Callithrix jacchus: one gene and its partners. Each later gene encodes a partner of the first gene's protein in a complex. Links are inferred from orthologs where the notes say so. Each region holds a gene or a part of one and is shown in the gene's direction. Other genes may lie near its edges. The genes, in order: ACADM, ETFA and ETFB.

Region 1 (8,273 bases):
AAACCACAAAAGGGAAGAATCATCAACCCCTGTGGTGTCTAATTAACTTGAGACATTCTTCTATTTGTTCCTTATTCCCACCTTAACCAATAAGACAATTGAATTGGACTTTGTAACCAACGTTGGTCAACCTCATGACTCCAAACCCTATGACCCCCTCCCAGCTTGCAAAACCTCCCTAAACTGTAACTTCTGTAACTTTCCACTACTTACCCCAAACCTATAAAACCAACGCCTATCCCACTGCCCTCCACTGACTCTCTTTTCAGACTCAGCCTGCCCACACCCAGGTGAATAAACAGCCATGTTGCTCACACAAAGCCTGTTTAGGGGGATCTCTTCATCCAGAGTGTGTGTTTTAACAGGCATTCTTCATGACAACTGCTTGGTATCTTAATTTTTTTTTTAAATGACAGTTATTTTGGGGAAAAATTAGTTAGATTAAAAGAAGCCAAAGAAAGTTAAAGCCTAACTGTAATGGGCAATCATTCATAGAATTCTGGTTCAAAAACAAACTATATACAAAAGGTAATTTGGAAACAACTGGACAACTGGAGAAATGTAAATACTGCCTGGACATTAAACAATAGTATTGAATAATCTTGCTTCTAATCTATAAACTATACTTGTACACATATAAATATATAAATATGGAAAAATATTTGAACCTAGGTGATAGTGATAAAGGAGTTAAGAAGAAATTATTTAGGCAGATAGTACAGGTATGGGAGTCCTTGGTAAGGCTTTTCTTTTTCATGAAAAGCAGCTCCAAATCATTTTCTAATGAAGAGCAGCCTGTAAAGTTGAGCTGCAGACATAGGCAGCCAAGTTGGGAGTTTGCAAGGGTGAATGCTGGCAGGAGCTAAGGACTAGACATGTTCAAGATGGTGGCTCCCTCTTCCCTTCTCTGCCAATCACATGTATAGTAAGAAGCAGACAAGACAGTGCCAATCAATTGGAAACCCCATTTGCATAAGATTAGGGTACAGCAACCAACCTTCCCCATGTACTATGTAAACATCAGACCTGATCAAATCAATCTGTGAGCCCTCTATAAATCAGACACCACCTTCTCAAACCTGACCAGAAAATTCAGTGCATCCACCACCTGCAGGTGCTTTCCACTCAGAGCCCCTCTCTATAGACAGAGATATTTCTATTTATCTTCTTTTCTGCCTATTAAACCTCCACTCCTAAAATCTTCGTGTGGGTCCATGTCCCCAATTTTCCTAGCACGCAATGATGAACCCCAGGTATATCCCCTAGACAACGTAGCCGCTTCAATAATCCATCCACCTTTGCAAAATTATGACTGAGACAGTGAAAGAGATCTCACCTAGCCAATTTCATCTTGCTTCTAATCTTCAAGCTGTCCTTGTTTGTTCCCAGGCGTAGGTTGAACTCACTTTGGGAGGGATTGGAACCAGCTTTGCAGAAATAACTGAGAAAATTATGACAGTGAAAGATATCAGACCTAACTGACCATCTTGCTTCTAATCTATAAACTATACTTGTTCATTCTTGGGCATAGGCCAAGAAACCTTTGGGAAGGAATTTAGTGTATAGTTTATATAATAACCCTTCCCAAAAGGCTAAACTAGTCTTGTAAAACAAATGAAAGGCCAGCTACCAAGTCAAGATGAGAGGGGTTGGAACTCTAAATATTACCAGCCATTATTTGGAGGTGATAAGATTTGCCAACTACCCCAGTAAGTCTTGAAAGTAACATTGTGAACCTAAGTCTTTTGAGATGTCTTTTCAGGTTTCTGCATGTCTAACAACCAGATGGCCCCACCTGGATGTGCCATCTAATTCTGTAGCCCTCATCCAGGAAGTAACTCAGCAAAAAAGAACAGCTTCAACTGCCTATGATTTCATCCTTAAACCAACCAATCAGCACTCCTGATTCACTGCCCCCCACCACCACCAACACCAAATTTTCCTTAAAGGGACTGATTTGAGTAATAATAAAACTCCGGTCTCCTGCATAGCCAGCTCTGTGTGAATTACTCTTTCTCTATTGCAATTACTATCTTAATAAATAGGCTCTGTCTAGGCAGCAGGCAAGGTGAACTCCTTGGGCAGTTACAGAACTTATAGTTTAAAACATAGATGTTAACAGTCCTTTTCCAAAACAAATATTCTTCTTGCCTGGGGACTAGCCTGCCTTTGTAAAACTAACAAATTAGCCACAAGATTAGAATTATAGTTTAGGAGTCAGGCAGCTGGAGTCTACAAGATTCTGACCTCCCTAAATTGCTCCTAAGTTCAGTGCTTAAGATATTATGCAGACCCTGGACTTGATGAATCAGCTGGCACAACCCAGCTCAATAAACTGGCTTATCTGATCTTGTGGCACCCACCTGGGAACTGACTCTTCGAAATAGGACAGCTTCAATTCCCTGTAACTTCATCTACTAACCAATCAGCACTCCTGGCTCACTGGCTTCCCTATACCAAAAAAGTTCTTAAAAACGCTGATCTGCAAATGCTGGGGAAGGCTGATTTTAATAATAATAAAATTCCCATCTCCCACACAGCCTCTGTGTTAACTACTCTTCATTGTAATACCCCTGTCTTGATAAAAGGGCTCTGTCCAGGCAGTGGGCAAGGTGAATCTATTGGGCAGTTACAATAGGCATATGGGTGATTTTGTGCTTTTCGTTCACCTTTTCTGTGTTTAAAATGTTCAGAATAGGAAATTCGAACAAAGAAGACATGCATAGACAATTCCTATTCATCTTTAAGAGTCCATTTTGTGTTTTACTTACCACTCTGAAGCCTTTCTTGCCCACCAGGACAAACTCAGCTCTTTATCCCTTTTCTGAATTTTCCTATTTTTGCTTTGAATACAGCACTTAATTAATATTCTGCCTTGTACCCAGAATTAACACACTATAAATTCCCAGAGGACAAAGTAGGGAAATACAATCTTAGTATATAGAAATTTAACAGCCAAATTAGAATGAATTTAATAGGTGATCTTTATTAGGCAAAATAAAATGTTAAGGTGGTATAAGATTTAGGGGTGCAGTGCTGAAGGCCTAAACTAGGATGGCAGCAATGAAAAGGCAAAGTCCTGAGCAACATGGGAAACATTTACACTGCAGGCTCGCATTTGGGCTTTCATTAGCTTCCACAACAAGGTCTCCAAACCTGGACAGCTTTACAGACACCCATTTTAAAACATTCCAGCTACATATCAAAACTCCGGGTCTCACTGGAAGAGAGTGACTTCAAGTAAATTCCTCAGGGAGACATTCACTTCCAACCATCATTCGCTAACCCAGGAACTTTGGACAGCCTCATATTGCACCCGGATTCAACACCACCACATCCACACCAGTGGACAAGTAATAAACAGCCTCGGGAATATGCGGAAAGGTGTAATTTACCCAAGCAACTAAATTATTTTAAATTCTAATGAAATACAAACATCCGCCAGTGTTTGAGAACAAAATGTTTTAGTACTTTGAATCCGCCAAGGAGACATGATCTGGGTTTGACCGTCCTCTCTGGGTGAAGGTCAGGGCTAACCACGGGAGCGCCTCTCCCTCCAGGCCCTCGTCGCGCCCTCTCACCCAGATTCCCGTGCTGCACCGCGCCGCAAGTCCCCCACCGCTGGGCGCCAGCAGATTCTCCCAGCCCCGCAACCGGCCCCTCCCCCGCTCCACCTCCCCCGGGGCGGCTGTCAGCCTCAGCGTCCCACAGAGAGGGCGAAACATGGGAACGCAGAGAACTAGACCCGGCTTATGAGGGACCGCCCGGAGAGGGGGTGAACCAGCTCCTTAAGTCGCACCAATCGCGCAGGTCAGCGTCACGGAGCAGGCGTTGGAAACCCGGCGCCAGCGACCCCTTCTACCCTACTTGAGCTGCACCCCTTCCTTCGGCGGCCCAGCCGCCTACTTCCGCCCCGCCCACGGCCCCTGGTGGGCGGGTCTAGAGGGGGCCTGCGCTTGGGGAGTCTGTCAAGGCACTGACCTGGGTGTTACTATCCGAGTGGCCGGAACGGGAGCCAACATGGCAGCGGGGTTCGTGCGATGCTGCAGGGTGAGAGGGAGCCCAGCGCTGCGGTGGGGCTGGGGCATGAGTATTGTGGTGTGTGGTCATGGGCCAAAAATAAGTGCGGCCTGGAGGAGTGAGAAGCCGGTCAGAGGAAGGAGCCCGCCTAGGGGACCCCGGCCCTACTTTCATGCCTCCTACCACGGGACGGAACGTAGTCCGAAGTTTCATTTTCCCGTATCCTCCCATCAGCAGACCCCTTTATAGGCGGCATCCTTTCTTTAGAATATCGTTTTTCTTTTTCTGGCCCGGGAACCCTCCAAATATTTACCCACCTTTTTCCGAAGTGAACCTGTCTCTGTGTCAGAACCTCGGGAAAAAGGAAAATGGAGCAGCTACTCCTTGAGATACTTAATATATTTAATAAGCTTTTAGTTGTGTAATATGGTGGAGGACGCGTCCACTTTGCTTACGGGAAAAAACGGTAAAAGAAAAAACCGCGGAAATTTATGTGAACTTGTCTATATATTCTAGTATTGTGTCTTACAGAGTCTAAATAGGTTTGTCACTAGATGCATTTGGGGATCTTAAATATTCTTGGTATGTTCACATGACTGCCATTTAGATGTCACTTAAAGTTATGTTTTTGACCAAAAAAGCTGCGGTTTTAGAATAATCCTAAAGAATTGCTGTCCATATTTTGCTGCTTTTATACAGGTTAATGTGCAGTGAAGGCAGAAATTGGAAGATTTTAGCTATTTTTAACTCCATCGCCAGAAAAGTAGATTTCTCAGCCTCCTAGGAAGGAGCTAAAAAACCTGATATAGAAAACTTACATCCTTTTTTTCTTCTTTCACTCATAAAACTAACACTCATATATTTCTTTCTTTTTTTTTTCTTTTTTTTTTTTTTTTGAGACGGAGTTTCGCTCTTGTTACCCAGGCTGGAGTGCAATGGCGTGATCTCGGCTCACCGCAACCTCCGCCTCCTGGCTTCAGGCAATTCTCCTGCCTCAGCCTCCTGAGTAGCTGGGATTACAGGCACGCGCCACCATGCCCAGCTAATTTTTTGTTTTTGTTTTTGTTTTTGTATTTTTTAGTAGAGACGGGGTTTCACCATGTTGACCAGAATGGTCTCGATCTCTTGACCTCGTGATCCACCCGCCTCGGCCTCCCAAAGTGCTGGGATTACAGGCTTGAGCCACGGCGCCCGGCCACACTCATATATTTCTAAGAAATGCACAAAATGTTTAATTCTAGTGGTGCCGTTTCGATGTTTAAAATTCCGTTGTTCTAGACAGAGAGCAATAATAAAACCAATATTATAGTAGTAATAAAACCAATATTTATATAGCATTAGGCTTTGAAAACATTATCTTATTTTAAACATCCCAACATACACAGTGAGATTAGCCCTATTTTTCAGTTTGAATGGAAGCTATAGGCAGTTTGTAATCTAAGGCCACAACTGTAGCTGTGAAACCTCGATTCAAATTCAGCAATTGTTAAGTCCACATCCCGTGATATATCTGTTTTCTATTTGTAAACCACCTCTTTAATTAACTGGCTAACTTTGTTATGTAATTGATGGGCATTGTATTCTGGTAATAGCAACCTTTGCACTTCGTTCTATGTAACATATTTTCCTGAACAGTCATATGTGAAGTGACTTTTCCCCCTATTTAAAGTCTCTTGGGCCTCAGACTTTGGGGCGCTGAGACAGGCGGATCTTCTGAGGTCAGGAGTTGGAGACCAACCTGTCCAACATAGTGAAACCTCATCTTTACTAAAAAAAATAACAAAAATTAGCCGAGTGTAGTGGCACACGCCTGTAGTCCCAGCTACGCAGGAGGCTCAGGCGGGAGAATCGCTTGAAACCAGGAGGCAGAGTTTGCAGTGAGCCAAGATTGCATCACTGTACTACAGCATGGTTTACAAGAATGAAACTCCGTCTCAAAAAATAAAGTATCTCGGTTGGCCAGGTGCGGTGGTTTACGCCTGTAATCCTAGCACCTTGGGAGGCCTAGGCCAGCGGATCACTTGAGGCCAGGAGTTCGAGACCAGCCTAGCCAACATAGGGAAACTCCATCTCTACTAAAAAATATGAAAACTTAGCTGGGCGTGGTGGCGTATGCCTGTAATCCCAGGAGGCCGAGGTTGCAGTGAGCCGAAATTGCCCCACTGCACTCCAGCCAGGGTGACAGAGGGAAACTCTTGTCAAAAAAAAAACAAAATTCTCAGTAGACCATTTAACCTGGCTTGAGTTCTGACATTTGTGTATGGTATTCAAAAGCATATGTATAATAGAGTCGGGTTTTTTTGTTCTGATTTTTGTGGCAAGTTTTTCTTTGTTATGGAACTTAGTGACCAATTAGGAGACCAATAGAAAGATCAGTATGGCAAGGTGGTTAAATAGCATGCGCTCTTGATAGTAAATGTTAGAATCCTGGTTGCACTAAGAGTAGAGTAACTTGCCTAATTTAGTTGACTTTCTGAGGCTTCGTTTCCTCACATGTGAAATTGGAATAAAAATAATGACTTAATCATAGGCTTGACCTGGGATTCAGTGAATTAACCTAAGGTGACTGTAAACAAGAATAGATTTGGTCTGTGACTACTGGACAATGAAGACCAGAGAAACTGTTTAACTTTCAAAATAAAACTAATGAAGTTGCAAAGAAAATGTGAGCTTTCATGGTCTTTTTAAATTATAGTATGAGGTATGTTATTTTGAAAGCTCTGTTTCAGTTACAAATATTTGACAATAATATTGTCACCTTACACGTAGGAAATTCTCTTTATAAGTTGAAATTGTCATCTACAAAGACAGTTTCTTTTTACAGATTTTGAAAAACATAAGTTAAATTGTAGAAACTTTAGTATATTCTTCAGCTTCTCTTTTCTCTTAGTATCTAAGCTTATTAAAATTGCCAGATAGTTCAATCAAAATATTTTACAGTGAAAATTGTATAATTTTGGCTGTCCCGAAACCCTTACTCAGGAAGACCATTGTGGTCTCCAGTCTGGCAGCTTTAATAAATACAAATGTTTACTTTTGTATCCATTAAACTGTCATGAATATAAAAATGCAAAGCAATGATATATGTATATTTGATTTTTTAAATATGCTCCTTTGAAGAAATATGAATATATTTCAGATCCTAAGACAAGTAGTGTATTAGTAGTTTAGAACAGGGTTGGCAAATATTTTTTGTAAAGGAGCAGATAGTAAATGTTTTTGCCTTTGTGAACCATATGGTCTCTGTGGTAACTACTTAGATCTTCTGTGAAGGCAGCAATAGACAGCATGATGTGGCTTTGTTCCAATAAAATTTTATTTACAAAACTATTGGCTGCCATAGTTTGGTGACTCCTTCCTTAGAACATTGTAACAATGCCTGTAGACAATGAGCAGAAAATACAGAACATGGTTTTATGCTAATTTGTTTTGTTAAGAGTGGGGTATCCTAAAAAATGAAATCCTCTGAGGGGAAGGTTCCCAGAGGCATGCATGGGAGGCTTACAGGGACAGGGTATCAAAGTTGATGGACTAGGCAACTCTTGAACACAGTATGTTCACTTCCAGCCTATTATTCTCCCCACCCCAACTCTCCAATCATCAATGTCCTAGGAGCTTGTAAGACACCCAGAATAGTGGTCCTACGTCTACTACTACCCTTAACTGTTGTTTGTCCTGGAAACCCTCCACTTCAATAGTGTTAATACCACTGATTTTATTTTCATTACTTTTTAAAAACATCTCCTCTATGATAGGAGTTTAGATAGCCGGTAATTGGCTTACTTAAATTATGATTGAAAGCATTTAAATAATGATGACTGTAAAAACTATGAGTATCCTCAAACAAGTTGCTGTACTCACATAATTATCAGTATTCTCTTATCTGATTGATGTTAAACTTATCAAATGTATTTTAATAAAAGTGTTCTTTACAGGTCCTGAGAAGTATTTCTCGTTTTCATTGGCGATCACAGCATACAAAATCTGCTCTACAACGTGAACCAGGATTAGGATTTAGTTTTGGTATATGTTCTGTTCTATCTTTTGACTTTAAACTTATATATATGAAGCTCTATGTATTTGTTTGGAATTTGTTTGTAAATAAAATTAATAATGTCTTTAAATGAGTAGAACCAGTCCACGGTCCATATATAGTTCACGGTTAATCACACCCATTCTTCCTGATCTCATTTTCTTTCTTAGTATACTACACTATATATTAGATCTGTGTTAGCAGCATATATACACTTCTT
Region 2 (7,968 bases), on another chromosome or scaffold:
CCTGGCATTTTGGGAGGACAAGGCAGGTGGATCACCTGAGGTCAGGAGTTTGAGACCAGCCTGACTAACACGGAGAAACCCCATCTCTACTAAAAATACAAAAATTATCTGGGCATGGTGGTGGCCACTGTAATCCCAGCTACTTGGCAGTCTGAGGCAGGAGAATCGATTGAACCTGGGAGGTGGAGGTTGCAGTGAGCTGAGATCGCACCACTGTCCTGCAGCCTGGGCTGCAGAGTGAGACTCTGTCTCAAAAATAAAATAAAATAAAATAAATAAATAAAATAAAAATAAGTAAATAAAAAGAAACCATGGGTCCTGCCACCAAAGCAGCTCATAACGGAGTGGGGAACTCATATACCTCTAGGGAAAATCCGCTAATAGAAATTTCTTAGCACACACATTTCTCTGGTATATAACCTGCATATGACTGTAGAACCCTGATACCCCTTCATCCCAAAGCCTCAGAGGGTGTTTCACGTGTGATCAAAACAGGTCTGGTCAGGTGTCACAACTTTGCCCATTTTCAGCCTCTCCCTCGGCTCTGACCTGCTCTGCCAGGAATCCCAGGGACACCAAGCTTCTGCTGTGCACAGCTGCTGCTGATTCCCCCCTAACAACTCTCCCCTTTTGTGTTTCGCTTTGTCCTGGGTGAGGAGGCAGGGAAGGAGGTGAGTTTGTATCTCGGGTTTTTAACATGGTTTTCAGTAAAATATCCTTTTCCATTTTTACTAAAAGGACCCTTCCCTCTTCCTTCCACTCCCATAGGTCTCAGATTCTAGTTCTGTGGGGGACTGGGTTAGGAGGCAAATGCAGTGAGACATGGAATGCTAAATTGTCCCTCCCACAGGCAGATTTACTGGGGGGCAGGGGTCCACAGCTCTGTCCGCCACATGAATTCAGACATTTTTGAAGTGGCTGCTTATGTTTAAGATGAATCCTCACCTCCTTGTTCACAGAGCTAGAAGAGTGAGAAAGAGGAAAGAATTAATTCATCCTGGAGAATCGAGAAAGCTTACAAAAGAAATGTCACTTGGGCCAGGCATGGTGGCTTTGTGCCTGTAATCCCAGTACTTTGAGAGGCTAATGTGGGAGGATCACTTGAGGCCAGGAGTTCAAGACCAGCCCTGGGTAACAGAATGGGACCCTGTCCCTACAAAAAAAGAAAAAAGAAATGAATAGCTGGGCATGGTGGCACATGACTATAACCCCAGCCACTTGGGAGGCTGAGGCAGCTCAGCTTGGGAGGATTGCTTGTTCCCAGGAGCTGGAGACTGCAGTGAGCTGTGACGGCACCACTGCACTCTAGCCTGGGAAACAGAGTGGGACCTTGTCTTGAAACAAAATAAAAGAAGAATTGTCACTTGAGCTGGGTTTGAAAGAGGCTTGTCAGATGGGGAAGGGAATTTCCGACAGAGGGACGACCAGAAAATCACAGGGCCCTTAGCATGCTTGTTGGTTCAGACAAGACTCTTGCTCCAGGGGATTTACACTCCAATGCAGGGAGATCAGCAATAAACAGATAAACAAGTGCATCCCGTTAGGAGTTGATAAAAAAAAGAAGAAAAATCAAACAAGGTGACAGGGAGTTTGGGAGGGGCCTGGGTGCTATTTTAGGTACAGAGGCCAAGATCAGCCTTTCTGTAAATGCAGTTTTTGAGCAGAGACCTGAATGAAGTGAGGACGTACACCACGCTACAGGAGCAACAAGGGAAGAGCATTTCAGGCAGAGGGAACAGTCAGAGTACAAAGCTCTTGAGAGGAGCAGGCTTGTGGGCTCAAGAAGGCCTGTGTGTCCGGGGCACGGTGAGAGAAGAGGGTAGTGGGAGGACAGGGAGCCATCGTAGGGCTTTGAGCAGCGGTCATGATCAGTACATCAGTTTGGAGAAGAGCCTTCTGGAAGCATGGGTAGAAACATAAAGACTAGCTAGGAGGCTTTGCCATGATCCAGGTGAGGGATGATAGGGTCCTGAGTGAAGGTGGTTCTGGTGGAGGAGTAAAGGGTGTTGGAGGAAATTGCTGGATTCTGGTTATCATTTGAAGGTAGAATCAAAGGGATTTGTTGATAGACTAGATAACATTGGAAAGGTACGTTGTTGCTGAATTGGGAACTGAGACAATTCCCGAACATATCAGTTCCCTATTTAACAATGTCGTGATGAAGTCCGGACTCATCAGCAGTCATTTATTCATTTGCTGATTCATTCAACACATACTGATTAAATGCCTACCATGAGCCAGGCATTGCTCTAGGTGTTGCAGATAGACACCAAATTTAAAAGCAGGACATACTTTCTGCCCTTAGAGAGCTTAGATGGGTGAGTCAGACAAGTACCCAGGTCATTACAACCCATGTGACAACTGCTACCATGGGGAAGGACAGGGGGAAACGGGCATATAGGAAAGGTATCTAATTGGAGTTAGCATGGCTCCACTCATATGTCACCCCGAGGTCAGCTCAGTTTTGAGGTTCACTCTAACAGTGTCGCCCATTGCGGGGCTGGGAGACAGTACAGTCTGAGCTCCGTCATCAGCTGGGTCAGTCTCCGCAGCTCCGCGGCCCCGGCTTCCTCGAAGACCCCAAGGGAACAGCCTCACCTTTGCCCCACTTCCCAGTCTAGCTCCTAACTTCCTGCCCTCCATTGGCTGCGCGACCGCCCAATGGGCAGGCGGGAAATGTGGGTTCGCGCTCCCGGCCTAGGGCGTCCGATCTCGTTCGCGCGTCTCGCGAGCGTTAGGTGACTGGAGGGGGCGGTGCCGCTCGGCCGGGCACCGGCTGCTGGGAGGCCGAGGTAGCGGCGGGCGCGGAGACAATGTTCCGAGCGGCGGCTCCGGGGCAGCTCAGGAGGGCGGTGAGTCCGGACAGGGAGGGCGAGCCCAGGGACCGTCTCCCCTCAACCTGCCGTCCCTATGGGATCTTGCAAAGGTCCCCGGCTCCCTCAGGCCCGACCAGCCCTCGCGCCCGCCCGCAGCTTCCGGCCTGGGGCTTGTTCCAAAGTTCTGGGGCCTGCCCTGGACTCCTTCCGGGCCGCCAGGTCGGGCAGAAGTCAGAGGTCGGGGGTCCAGGTGACCCCGAATGATGTGAATTTGCGCGTCTGCTGCCCGTCCTCCTGGCCCACTGTCTGCCCTGCCGCTTCCCACCTTTCTCAGTCACTCTGGGCACTTTCGGGCCGCCAGGTCCTCCACATTTGTTCCACACCCGAGGGAACAAAATGTCGCCGGGGAATGCCCTGCTGGGGAAAGTTTAAAACCTGGATTCCTTCCAGAGGCCGACATTTCTGGAAGAAATAAACACTTTGGGCGCGCTGTGGCTGCTCCGACCACTCACTTAGGGCCGGGGTGGGGTGGGGTGGGAGGCGGCGTGGCTGGTTATGGCAGCTGGCTCTGCTTTCTGGCTTATGGAACAGGGCTGAGTTTAGGTGATTGCATGTGTAAAACCTGTGGTCTGATTTGACAGCTTTAGCTAATTTTCAAAGGCCGACGTCTTTTTATATACTGACTTGCTTTTAACCAGCATATTGTAGGTTAAATAGCCAGGTAACTGGTGATAGTGGTACATTTTCGGTGTTTCATTAGTGACAAACCACATTTCTCTCTTCCCTGTGAGAACGACTGATAGGAAATATATTTTCGTTCTCAATGGAAGAGTAGTATTTGGAGACCAGTCATAAGTCAAGTAATAATTTATATTGTGGATTCTGTAGTTTTCCTAATTTACATTTAGGCGAAAGGAGAAAGAAGATTGGTAAACTTGGGTCAGAAACTTACCTAATGGTTTGTACCTTTTCTAATTTTTTTTTTTTTTTTTTTTTTTTTTGGTACATGGATATTTTCCCCATTCACTCCTGGGATTTTTCTCTCTGAGGTATATCTGGAGCTCTTTCTAGATGTCTGTAGACATTAGACTCTTTTTTTTTTTTTTTTTTTGGAGACAAGGTCTGGCTCTCTTGCCCAGGCTGCAGTGGAGTGCAGTGGCACGATCTGGGCTCACTGCAACCTTCACCTTCCAGGTTCATGCGGTTCTCCTCAGCTTCCCAAGTAGCAGGGACCACAGGTGTGCATCACCACGCCTGGCTAATTAGTTTTCCTGTATTTTTTTTTTTTATCGAGATGGGGTTTTGACATATTGCCCGGGATCCCGAACTCTTGGCCTCAGGTGATCCACCTGCCTTGGCCTCCCAAAGTCCTGGGATTACAGGAGTGAGCTACTGCACCCGGCTTTAGACATCCTTTTTTCTTGTGTATATTCCTTGTTTGATAAAAAGTCCTGACCCCTGACTCCACCTTCCCCTAAAGAGTTTAAACCCATATGTTTCAGGTTAGTGTCCTGTCTTCCCCTCAGGACATGTTCCCCCCTCCCCTTAGGGGATCTAGACATAAACAAGTGAAAGTCATGAATTTGGGAAAATTCCAGGAACCAGAGCCAGACTTACGGAAGAATGCTTCTCTGTGCAACAGTTGGAAAACAATTCTGTGGACAGATTACAAGTCTGGTCTAAGTGAAATTATAATTGTGGTGGGGGATGGAATTTAGGACTCAGCAATTTTGTAGAGCTAACAGAAAAAAATGGAGTGATTAAGTAATTCTTATTATTCACACCGTTGGCTAATGTGTATAGACATGACTTCCAAATATTCATTGTGGTTTGCCGAGGACTTTGACCTTGACTTGCTTTTAAAATTTGAAGTCAAGCTAAGTAGAATAGCTGTTTTAAAGTCATTAAGAATGTTTGAGAGATTTGAATTTCTAGCATGAAAGAAATGGTGGCAACACTTCTAAAGTGGACACATGTTACTAGGTACATATACCTGGTATTTAAGTTTTTAAATTTTGAAACAGTTGCACTTATAGAAAAGTTGTAAGAATAGTAGGAAGAAGTCTCAAAACCCTTTCCCTGGTTTTCCCAGCGTGTTAGCAGTTTGACACATTTGCTTTATCTTTCTACATATATACATAATACTATCTTTCTGAACCATTTGAAAGTACGTTGCAAATGTGCCCTTTACTCCTAAATAATTCAGTGATGTTTTAAAAGAACGAAGAAGTTCACTTTCTGACTGCACTGTAATTGGCAATATCTGGGAGTTTCACAATAAAATACTGTTTTCTAATCTACAGATGTTCAATTTTGCCAGTTGTCTCATTAGTACTGTTTATAGCAATTTTCCTTATTCTGGTCTAAGACACCTCAGGTGCCCTGCATATGGTTTTCATGTCTCTTTACTCTGATAGAAAGGTTCCTCAGCCTTCCTTTGGGTTTACATATTGGTGTATTTGAAGACTACAGGCCTTCTATTTTCTTTTTTTTTTTTTTCCCCCAGGCCTTCTGTTTCTAGACTGTCACTCACTTTGGGTTTGTCTGGTGTTTCCTTATGATTAGATTCAGGTCATATATTCTTGGTGGGAATAGCACAAAAGTGATACTGTGTTCCCTGTGCATCATGTTAGGAGGTACTTAATGTTGGTTTATCCCATTAGTGGTAATGCTAACTTTAATTACTTAGCCAAAGTGGTGTTTGCCAGGTTTCTACACTGTCAAGTGAATACTCCTCCTCTTGTAATTTTTAACTAATTTGTGAGGAGATACGTTGAGACTATGTATGTAACTCTCCTATTTTTCATCTTTTTTTTTTTTGAGACAGAGTCTCTTGCTCAGGCTGGAGTGCAGTGGGGCTATTTTGGCTCACTGCAACCTCTGTCTCCTGTTTTCAAGCAATGCTCGTGTCTCTCCCTCCTGAGTAGCTGGGATTACAGGCACGCACCACCACACCCAGCTAATTTTTGTATTTTTAGTAGAGACGGGGTTTCACCATGTTAGCCAGGCTGGTCTTGATCTTCTGACCTCTTGATCCGCCTGCCTTGGCCTCCCACAGTGCTGGGATTACAGGCGTGAACCACTGTGCCGGGCCTCTGATCAGACTTTTACCCACTGTTAGCATCTGTTGATTTTTGCCTGATAAATGATTACTATGATGCAAAATAGTGATTTTCTGTTTCCATGACACCTTCTACATTTTTTAGTTGTTCTGCTGTACAGAAGAACATTATCTTCTTGCATATTTATGGATTTATGGATTCATGGATCCTTATTTAGTAGGTTATAATCCATTTCTACCTTATGTTCAAGTTGTCTCATTTATAAAATGGGAGCCCGTTCAATCTGACTCCTGTTTATTTACATATATATATTTGCTCTCACAGGGTCAAATAGTTTATCTCAAATCCTCACTCTTAAAATTAAAAAAAAAAAATTGTTCTGTAGGTAACTGTTAATGCATATTTGAAGAGGATACATTTCCAAAACTGTATTTAAAAAAATAAAGTTAGGAACTCTAAAAGATTACCACGGGCTGGGGCAGTGGCTCATGCCTGTAATCCCAGCACTTTGGGAGGCCGAGGCGGGTGGATCACGAGGTCAGGAGATGGAGACCATCCTGGTTAACATGATGAAACCCCATCTCTACTAAAAATACAAAAAATTAGCTGGGCATGATGGCGCGTGCCTGTAATCCCAGCTACTCAGGAGGCTGAGGCAGGAGAATTGCCTGAACCCAGGAGACGGAGGTTGCGGTGAGCCGAGATCACGCCATTGCACTCCAGCCTGGGTAACAAGAGCGAAACTCTGTCTCAAAAAAAAAAAAAAAAAGATTACCATAAACTGTTAACAGTGTGAATATAGTTAACACTACTAAATTATACACTTAAAAATGGTTAAGATGGGGCCAGGCATGGTGGCTCACGCCTGTAATCCGAGCCCTTTGGGAGGCCAGGTAGGTGGATCACCTGAGCTCGGGAGTTTGAGACCAGCCTGGGCAATATGGCAAAACGCCATCTCTACCAAAACAAACAATTAGCCGAGCTCCATGGCACACACCTGTATTGTAGTCCCAGTTACTCAGGAGGCTGAGGCACGAGAATTGCTTGAACCTGGGAGTTCGGGGCTGTAGTGAGCCCAAATAGCATCATTGCATTTCAGCCTGGGTGACAGAGTAAGTAAGGCTCTGTTTCCAAAAAAAAAAAAGATGGTAAACATTTTGCATATATTTTTTTAACCACAGTTTGTTAAACGGTTAGTATAAGTTCGGTGACTTGTATTTGGAATGTAAGTTTTCATTTTCAGTTTTGACTGACTTGTGCCATTGAGCAAAGTTTTTCATTCTTGTGTGTGTGGAAATGGTCCTCAAAGTCATCTGTTAACAAAGGTCGTTTTAATATCTAATAAAGAGCTAGAGAACACACTGAGAGGAAAATAAGTAGGCATTTGCAGTTAATATTCTTACAGGGATAGTAATCCTAATTATTATTATTTTATTGATTTGCTCTTGAAATTGATTTATTGATGAATAATAAGATGCCAAAAAATATTTTTGTGGTGAGTGAAGCAGCACTTTCAAGGTCATTTGACTATTCTTGTCATTGTTCATTGCCAGGTGGGAAGGAGTATCTATCAGGATTGAGAAACTGCGAAGCTGGTGTGAAGGAACATGACATTTTTCTGTCTAGTATTGATGAATAAGATTGAACTCTGTAATTTGCATGCAAATTTAAATTTCTCTTGAAAGAAGAAAGTAAGCCAATTTTGGTGTGGTTCTAAAAGAAAATTTATTGCATAAGGTGAATTCAGTAAAATTATGCCTGCCAATGTGTCTACTAAGAGTCTTGTCTGTTCTTAAAGTGAAGTAAATTGACCGTGTTTTTAGTATTACAGTCAATGTCATATAACATTTCTGGTCATGATTAAAAGCTGCTATAGTTTATTACTAAAAAGATTAAAGGAAGCATTTAAAGTACAGAAATATATACATTTTTAAATTACAAAATGTATATTAAAGTAGGGATAGGTGACTTTAATTATATATTATTTATCCATTTGGGTATGACTTAGAAAGATTTTATAGCTTATTCTTGCCATTTTATTAATTTTTTTAATTAAGAAGCAAACACCACCCTCCCCCCATGCCCTTATT
Region 3 (7,473 bases), on another chromosome or scaffold:
CCAGATCTCCCAGCCAGTAAGTGGCAGTTAGGATCAAAACCTGGGTAAGTCTGGCTTTAGACTGCTCTCCAGTCTCCACTCAATGCCCCCTGTCCTAATACACCTCTGGCAGCACATGGCAGGGATGTCACCTTCAGCCCTTTTGAGACACATTCCTCTTGGGGTCCTGGGACCCGACACTTGGTTTCCTCCCGCCTCTGACTGTTCACTACTGTCACGTCTTTGGACTCCGAGAGCTCCCTGGGCCTCCTCTCTCTATCCCAGCCCTGGCCTTTCCTGCCTGGCATGTCTGGGATTGGATCTGTTTCCCCTACGATGCAGGCCCATGTTTGACTCAGCTCTGGTCCCAGCGTCACTCAGCACAGAGCCTGGCACATGGCTGTCTCTGGTGTGCTCAGGGAAGCGTGAAGGCAGCGTTGAATCAGCTCCTGTCTTTTCCACAGTGGGGTGCTGCCTTCCTCTCTCGAAGTGCCCCAGGGCTCCGTGACTCACTGGATGTGTCTGTTGATGTCCTTTTCAGAACAAATAAATGATTCAGACCCTGCCAGCTTCCTCAACACCAGATTCGAACTGGGCACTGTCCCATCCCTTTCCCTTCTCCTCCCAAAGCTGTCAGTTCTCCACCCCTCACCCTTCCCGCCCTATAGTCCCTTGGTCTCATTGTCTCGCTGGTTCTCCCTGACTCCTAGTCTCTCCCTCTCAGCCCACCTCTACCCAGCCGTAGGGGTCTTTCTGCACCTAGAACTGACCTTGCTTTCTCCTGATCCCAGCTTGCCTGTGGCTCCCCAGCACCCTCAGGCCAGAGTCCCAGCCCCTCTGCCTGGCATTTGGGACCCTTTGTGATTCGGCCTCCTGTTCATAGTCTGCTTCAGCCATCCATGTCCCTCCTTGGACCATCCCTTACCCCTTGTGTTTCCGCCACTGCGACATGCTCCTCCTGTCTTGACAGAGGAGGCTGTGGCTCACTCATTCCATGCCTTATTCCAGCACCACCCTCCTATCTCTGCTGCCTGTCCTTTGTCCTGCCCAACTTCAACCCATGGATTATATCAAAATCTAGTGATTCTCGGCTGGGCATGGTGGCTCATACCTGTACTCTCTGCATTTTGGGAGGCCGAGGTGAGTGGTTCAGTTGAGGTCAGGAGTTCAAGACCAGCCGGGCCAACGTGGTGAAACCCTCTCTCTACTAAAAAAAAAAAATTAGCCAAGCATGGTGGTGGTATACCTGTGATCCCAGCTACTCGGGAGTCTGAGGCAGGAGAATCGCTTGAACCTACCCTTATACTGCAGTGGCATTTGTGAAACAGGTCAAGGTCACTGGTCATGTTATCTGAGGTGTTATCTGACCTCATTGTCTCACAACCAAGAGAATTAAAGAGCATGAACCACCCAAAGCATGAGTTTGGAGCCAAAGTTTAATAAGTAAAAGAAGAAAGGAGGGTAGCCCAAGTGGGTTGCTGTTTTTACAGTTGAATCCAAAAGCTTTTGTAAGAAACTCCTGTCATCTCTGCAGCTGTTTGAGTATCTTATCTGTAAAGCTATCTGTATAACTCCCTTATCTATGTAGTTGTGGGTGTGTCTCCAGGCAAGCCCAAGGGTTTGTTTCAGGTAAGCCCCGCCCCATCCCTTTGCAAGTTCCCATGGAGCCCACCTTGTATATGCCTGAAAAGGAGAGGGAACTTTTCCTGGGAGCGCATTAATCACACAAAGAACAAAAGCAGGATCTGTGCTGGATCCTGCCTGCTTATCTGTGCAGCTGCAGCCTGAGTTTTCTCCAGGCTGCTCTACTGTTGCCTGTAGCTATGATTTTTCAGGCAGGCTGCTTCTCCGAGTACCAGGCTTTACTGTCTACCTAACTGATTTTTCCTTTTCTTCTCCTCATTTGTATTTATTTATCAGTGTGTTATGTCTTTATATACACTTGGGGATATGGAAAAATGCACCTCTCACTCTGGGTAACCGTAAATACTGTAAATTTGAGAACCACTCTTTCAGGCCTGATAAGGAGCAGTGACAGAGTAGGGATGATCATGTCAGATGTCCCTGGTACCCAGGAATGGCTGGATGAGAGGAGGAGAGAGGGTGACCTGCCCCTGCCTACAAGCTCTAACCCAGCTTGTCCCTGAAGCTGTGTGACCCTGGACAAGGCCCTGCCCCTTTCCAGACTGTTGTCCCCTTCTAACCTGGGAGAGAGATGGCACGGAGGCCCCCACCTTCTGGCCTGTTTCCTCCTGACCCCGCCTCCTGCCCTCCTGCTGAGCAGATCCGAGTGAAGCCTGATAGGACGGGTGTGGTCACGGATGGTGTGAAGCACTCCATGAACCCCTTCTGCGAGATTGCAGTGGAGGAGGCTGTGCGGCTCAAGGAGAAGAAGCTGTTGAAGGAGGTCATCGCCGTCAGCTGTGGGCCTGCACAGTGCCAGGTGCTGAGTCTGGGGAGGGCCTGGTCTCCTGGGTCTGAGGGAGGAGGGGCTGTGGGCCTGCACAGTGCCAGGTGCTCAGAGTCTGGGGAGGGCCTGGTCTCCTGGGTCTGAGGGAGGAGGGGATGGGGGCCAGACTCCTGGGTCTGAGGGAGGAGGGGCTGAGGGCCTGGACTCCTGGGTCTGAGGGAGGAGGGTCTGAGGGCCTGGACTCCTGGGTCTGAGGGAGGAGGGGATGGGGGCCAGACTCCTGGGTCTGAGGGAGGAGGGGATGGGGGCCTGGACTTCTGGGTCTGAGGGAGGAGGGGATGGGGGCCAGACTCCTGGGTCTGAGGGAGGAGTGGATGGGGGCCTGGACTTCTGGGTCTGAGGGAGGAGGGGATGGGGGCCAGACTCCTGGGTCTGAGGGAGGAGGGGCTGGGGGCCTGGACTTCTGGGTCTGAGGGAGGAGGGGATGGAAGCTAGATTCCTGGGTCTGAGGGAGGAGGGGATGGGGTCCAGATTCCTGGGTCCCTCTGGGGATAGTAGCCAAGTCAGGCTCCTCTGTCCTTGGCAGGAGACTATTCGTACCGCCCTTGCCATGGGTGCAGACCGAGGTATCCATGTGGAGGTGCCCCCGGCAGAAGCAGAACGCTTGGGTCCCCTGCAGGTGGCTCGGGTCCTGGCCAAGCTGGCAGAGAAGGAGAAGGTGGACCTGGTGCTGCTGGGCAAGCAGGTAGCTGTGGTCAGCCCCTCCTTGTGCCCCGGCTCATCCCTGCTCAGGAGGAGGGTGCTGGGGATGTGGGATGGGACAGCAGGTGGCCAGGCCCAGGGCATTCAGCCACTCCAGGCTGAGCAGCTTGGGACTTTGCTGTCCCTTCTGATAGAGAATTTGAGTAGGGAGGACAGAGTCCCTCTAGGTGTTAGATCCTCCTGGGCCAGGCACGATGGCTCATGCCTTTAATCCAGGCACTTTGGGTGGTCAAGGTGGGCAGATCACTTGAGGTCAGGAGTTTGAAATCAGCATGACCAACATGGCAAAACACTGTCTCTTCTAAAAATAGAAAAATTATCCAGGCATGGTGGCAGGCGCCTATAATCCCAGGTACTTGAGAGCCGAGGTGTGAGAATCACTTGAACCTGGCAGCCAGAGGTTGCAACGATACAAGATCACCTGGGGGCAGAGTTTCTTTCAAAAAGAAAAAAAAGAGAAAGATCCTCTTGGGTGAGTTTAGAGACTGGGAGACTAAGGTGATGGTCACTTGGGGAGAATGAGGCCTGGGCCAAACCTGATGGGACAGAGCAGAGACATGATATGGCAGGAGAGACTGGGCTTAGCCATGGGGAGGGAGGGCAGGGAGGAGGCAAGGACAGTGCCTGGGTCTGCCTCAGTAACACAGGTAGGAAACCTGGGAAGAACAGGACGTTACAGGCAGATCCTACATGGGGCGTGTGAAGAGCCCAGGAGACATTGATATAGGTTCAGGAGACTTGAGAATTTTGGAGGGCACTGGGGAGCTATGGGAAGTCTATGAGCAGAATAGGGAGGGGATCAGCACTAGATGCAGAAAGAGCCCCCTTGGGCTTCGAGAATGGACTGGAAGCAGAGATTGGAGGCCAGGAATTAGTGAAGAAGGTTAGGGCTGGGTGAGGACCCGACCAGAATCTCCTCTGCCACACTGGTGCTCTCCACTGGGGCAGAGGTGCATGGGGCTCATCTGTTCCCTCAGAAGACCCTGGGACACCATCCCTCCTCAGGGGATCTCATGTAAATCAGGTGCTTCAGGCACAGCTTGATCCAGAGTCCCACATGAGCTCTAGGCTCCCCTCTATCTTGGCTTCAATGTCTGCATCTCCAGGCTCAGATCCCACCAGCCCAGTGACCCCAGCAGAAAGAAAGGAGCCTCTTTGCCAAGGGCTCCAGCAAAGCTCCCAGGGTTGACTCTTCTTTGGTGCAGCTTGAGTAATGTGCTCCTCCCTGAATCAATCACTAGGATTAGGGCTAGGAGGTCCTCGCCAGCCCAGATCCTCTTCATCCAGCTGCCCAGGGGCCACAGGGCAGGACTCCTGAGAGGCTTTATACAGAGGGCAGAGATTTGGTGACAGGGATGCCATGTGGCCCCACATGCCCCTGGACAAGTGGCTGCTTATCTCTGGGCCCAAGTGAGGGGATTTAGACATAAGTCAATGAACTATGGCCCATAGCTACCACTGATTTATAAATAAAACTTTATTGGAACATCACCACATAGGTTCATTTACATATTATTTATGCCTACCTGTGTGCCACAGCAGCAGAGCTGAGTCATTGTGACAGAGACTGTATGACCTGCAAAGCCTAAAATATTTACTACATCTATTCCACCATAGAAAAAGTTTACCAACCCGCTGGGTGTGGTGGCTCATGCCTGTAATCCTAGCACTTTGGGATGCCAAGGGGGTGATGATCATCCGAGGTCAGGAGTTTGAGACCAGCCTGGCCAACATGGTAAAACCCTGTCTCTACTGAAAATATACAATTTAGCTGGGCATGGTGGTGCACGCCTGTAATCCCAGCTATTCAGGTAGCTGAGTCAGGAGAATTGCTTGAATCTGGAGGCAGAGGTTGAAGTAAGCCGAGACTGCACCATTGTACTCCAGACTGGGCAATAGAGCAAGACTCAAAAAGAAGAGAAAGAAAGAAAAACTAGACAAAGACCCGAATGGTCCGTGAGCTCCATTGATCGTCATACAGTCTTCTGTCTCTCCCCATTCAGGCCATCGATGATGACTGTAACCAGACGGGGCAGATGACAGCTGGATTTCTTGACTGGCCACAGGTGAGGCTGGAGTGGGGAGCACCTGCTGAGGGCCAGGCCCTCATCCCTCCGACTTCATTTCTGCCTCAGGCCCTGTGCATTTGCTGTTGTTTCCCTAGAACACTGTTCCCTCAGATTGCCTTGTGGCTTTCTTGTTCCTCTCCTTGAGGTCTCTGCTGAGGTATCACTTCTTCGAAGGGGACTTTCTTGCCACCCTACATGAAATACTCATGCTCACCCCCGCAACTCCAGGTTCCCCAATCCCTATCTATGCCAGTCCAATAGAAATGCAGGCTAGAGCCAGGCACTGTGGCTCACGCCTGTAATCACTGTACTTTGGGAGGCCGAGGCAGGCGGATCACTTGAGGCCAGGAGATCGAGACTGCAGTGAGTCACGATCATGCCAGTGGGCTCCATCCTGGGTGAAAGAGGGAAACTGTCTCAAAAAAAAAAAAGAAACATGCAAGGCAAACAGGCAAATTTAATTTTTTTCACAGCCACATAAAAAGTAAAAAGAGAAAAGAAAAAAAAAGAACATAAAAAAATTTTTTTTAAAAATAAAGTAAAAAGAAACAGACAAAATTACTTTTAATAATATTTTATTTCACCCTACTATGTCTAAAATATTATCATTTTAACATGTAATCAACATAAAAAATATTAAGATCCATCTGCTCCACCAGCACTGGGGTTATGTCCTGACAAACCCATCATAAACTGGAAGTATTATAACTCAAAGAATGCGTTCAATATACTTAATCTCCCAAACATCATAGCTGAGCCTAGTCTACCTTAAACATGTCACAACACCACCGTTAGCCTATAGTGGGGTAAAATAATCTAACATAAAGCCTACTTTATAATAAAGTGCTAAATATCCCATGTAATTTATCGAATACTGTACTGGAACTAAATGGAATGGGCCGGGCGCGGTGGCTCACACGCCTGTAATCCCAGCACTTTGGGAGGCTGAGGCGGGTGGATCACGAGGTCAAGAGATCGAGACCATCCTGGTCAACATGGTGAAACCCCCTCTCTACTAAAAATACAAAAAAATTTAGCTGGGCATAGTGGCGCATGCCTGTAATCCCAGCTACTCAGGAGGCCGAGGCAGGAGAATTGCCTGAACCCAGGAGGCGGAGGTTGCCGTGAGCCGAGATCGCGCCATTGCACTCCAGCCTGGGTAACAAGAGCGAAACTCCGTCTCAAAAAAAAAAAAAAAGGAATGGTTGCATGGGTACTGGAAGTATGGTTTCTACTGAGTGTTTACCATTGCCATGCCATTTGAAAACTGAGAAGTCTTAATTCACTCCATTGTTAGTCAGGGACCACGTGTATTTTACGTATTTTGGATTTTCATTGTATTAAGTCTTCAAAATTCAGCATATATTTTATATTTACAACAAATCTCAATTCATGTGCTAAATTTTTTTTTCTTTTCTTTTTTTTTTTTTTGAGACGGAGTCTTGCTCTGTCACCCAGGCTGGAGTGTAGTGGCACGATCTTGGCTCACCGTAACCTCTGCCTCCCAGGTTCAAGCGATTCTCCTGCCTCAGCCTTCTGAGTAGCTGGGATTACAGGTGTGTGCCACCATGCCCAGCTAATTTTGTGTTTTTAGTAGAGATGGGGTTTCACCATGTTGGTCAGGCAGGTCTCAAACTCCTGACCTCATGATCCACCTGCCTCAGCCTCCCAAAGTGCAGGGACTGTAATTCCATGAGCCATATGCCTGGCCAGGTTCTAAATTTCCATGAGAAACACGTTCCTAGAGATGACAGTTGAAATAGATTGATACACCCAAATTGTTCAAAACAAACTTAAAAGATTTCCAGTAACTGCATTGGGTATCAGTTTTTTGTTTTAAAACAGCTTTATTGAGTTATCATTGACCTATAATAAACTGCACATATCTATGTTCTACGATTCGTTAAGTTTGCTTTTCTTAAAAACGTTTATTTAGAGATGGGGTCCACTATGTTTCCCAGGCTGGTTTTGATTTTCCGGGCTCAAGCAATCTACTCATCTCAGCCCTCCAAAATTTGATAGGTTTTGATATGTGTTCCATCCATAAAATCATCACCACAGTCATGATCATGTGTCTTGAATATCAGTATGCATTTATTTATTTATTATTTTTTTGAGATGGAGTCTTATTCTGTCACCAGGCTGGAGTGCAGTGGCATGATCTTGGCTCACTGCAGCCTCCACCTCCTGAGTTCAAATGATTCTCCTGCTTCAGCCTCCTGAGTAGCTTGGATTACAAGTGTGCATCACCAT

The links.
Region 2: the proteins of ACADM (region 1) and ETFA are in contact, whole or in part, in a crystal structure (PDB 2A1T), measured with the Homo sapiens proteins. The link is inferred for Callithrix jacchus from reciprocal best matches to the Homo sapiens genes ACADM and ETFA. Residues at the interface, in NP_000007.1 of Homo sapiens: Pro163, Lys173, Pro211, Gln232, Arg235, Glu237, Val251, Glu253; in NP_000117.1 of Homo sapiens: Arg223, Lys226, Arg249, Asp253, Ala283, Ile284, Gln285, Glu304.
Region 3: the proteins of ACADM (region 1) and ETFB are in contact, whole or in part, in a crystal structure (PDB 2A1T), measured with the Homo sapiens proteins. The link is inferred for Callithrix jacchus from reciprocal best matches to the Homo sapiens genes ACADM and ETFB. Residues at the interface, in NP_000007.1 of Homo sapiens: Glu43, Gln44, Lys46, Glu47, Phe48, Thr51, Lys54, Phe55, Glu58, Glu59, Arg80, Glu83, Leu84, Gly85, Leu86, Leu98, Leu100, Ile108; in NP_001976.1 of Homo sapiens: Glu73, Arg76, Thr77, Tyr192, Ala193, Thr194, Leu195, Pro196, Ile198, Met199, Lys202.

What each region holds. Positions count from the first base shown.
Region 1 is NC_133508.1:112,937,136-112,945,408, forward strand, and holds the start of ACADM (medium-chain specific acyl-CoA dehydrogenase, mitochondrial), read left to right. Parts: upstream 1-3,987; 5' UTR 3,988-4,020; coding exon 4,021-4,050; exon of another isoform or gene 4,051-4,067; intron 4,068-7,955; coding exon 7,956-8,043; intron 8,044-8,273. UniProt on the Homo sapiens protein: Medium-chain specific acyl-CoA dehydrogenase is one of the acyl-CoA dehydrogenases that catalyze the first step of mitochondrial fatty acid beta-oxidation, an aerobic process breaking down fatty acids into acetyl-CoA and allowing the production of energy from fats.
Region 2 is NC_133509.1:24,697,183-24,705,150, forward strand, and holds the start of ETFA (electron transfer flavoprotein subunit alpha, mitochondrial), read left to right. Parts: upstream 1-2,771; 5' UTR 2,772-2,813; coding exon 2,814-2,852; intron 2,853-7,968. UniProt on the Homo sapiens protein: Heterodimeric electron transfer flavoprotein that accepts electrons from several mitochondrial dehydrogenases, including acyl-CoA dehydrogenases, glutaryl-CoA and sarcosine dehydrogenase.
Region 3 is NC_133523.1:44,943,275-44,950,747, reverse strand, and holds part of ETFB (electron transfer flavoprotein subunit beta), read left to right. Parts: intron 1-2,263; coding exon 2,264-2,422; intron 2,423-2,975; coding exon 2,976-3,134; intron 3,135-5,154; coding exon 5,155-5,217; intron 5,218-7,473. UniProt on the Homo sapiens protein: Heterodimeric electron transfer flavoprotein that accepts electrons from several mitochondrial dehydrogenases, including acyl-CoA dehydrogenases, glutaryl-CoA and sarcosine dehydrogenase.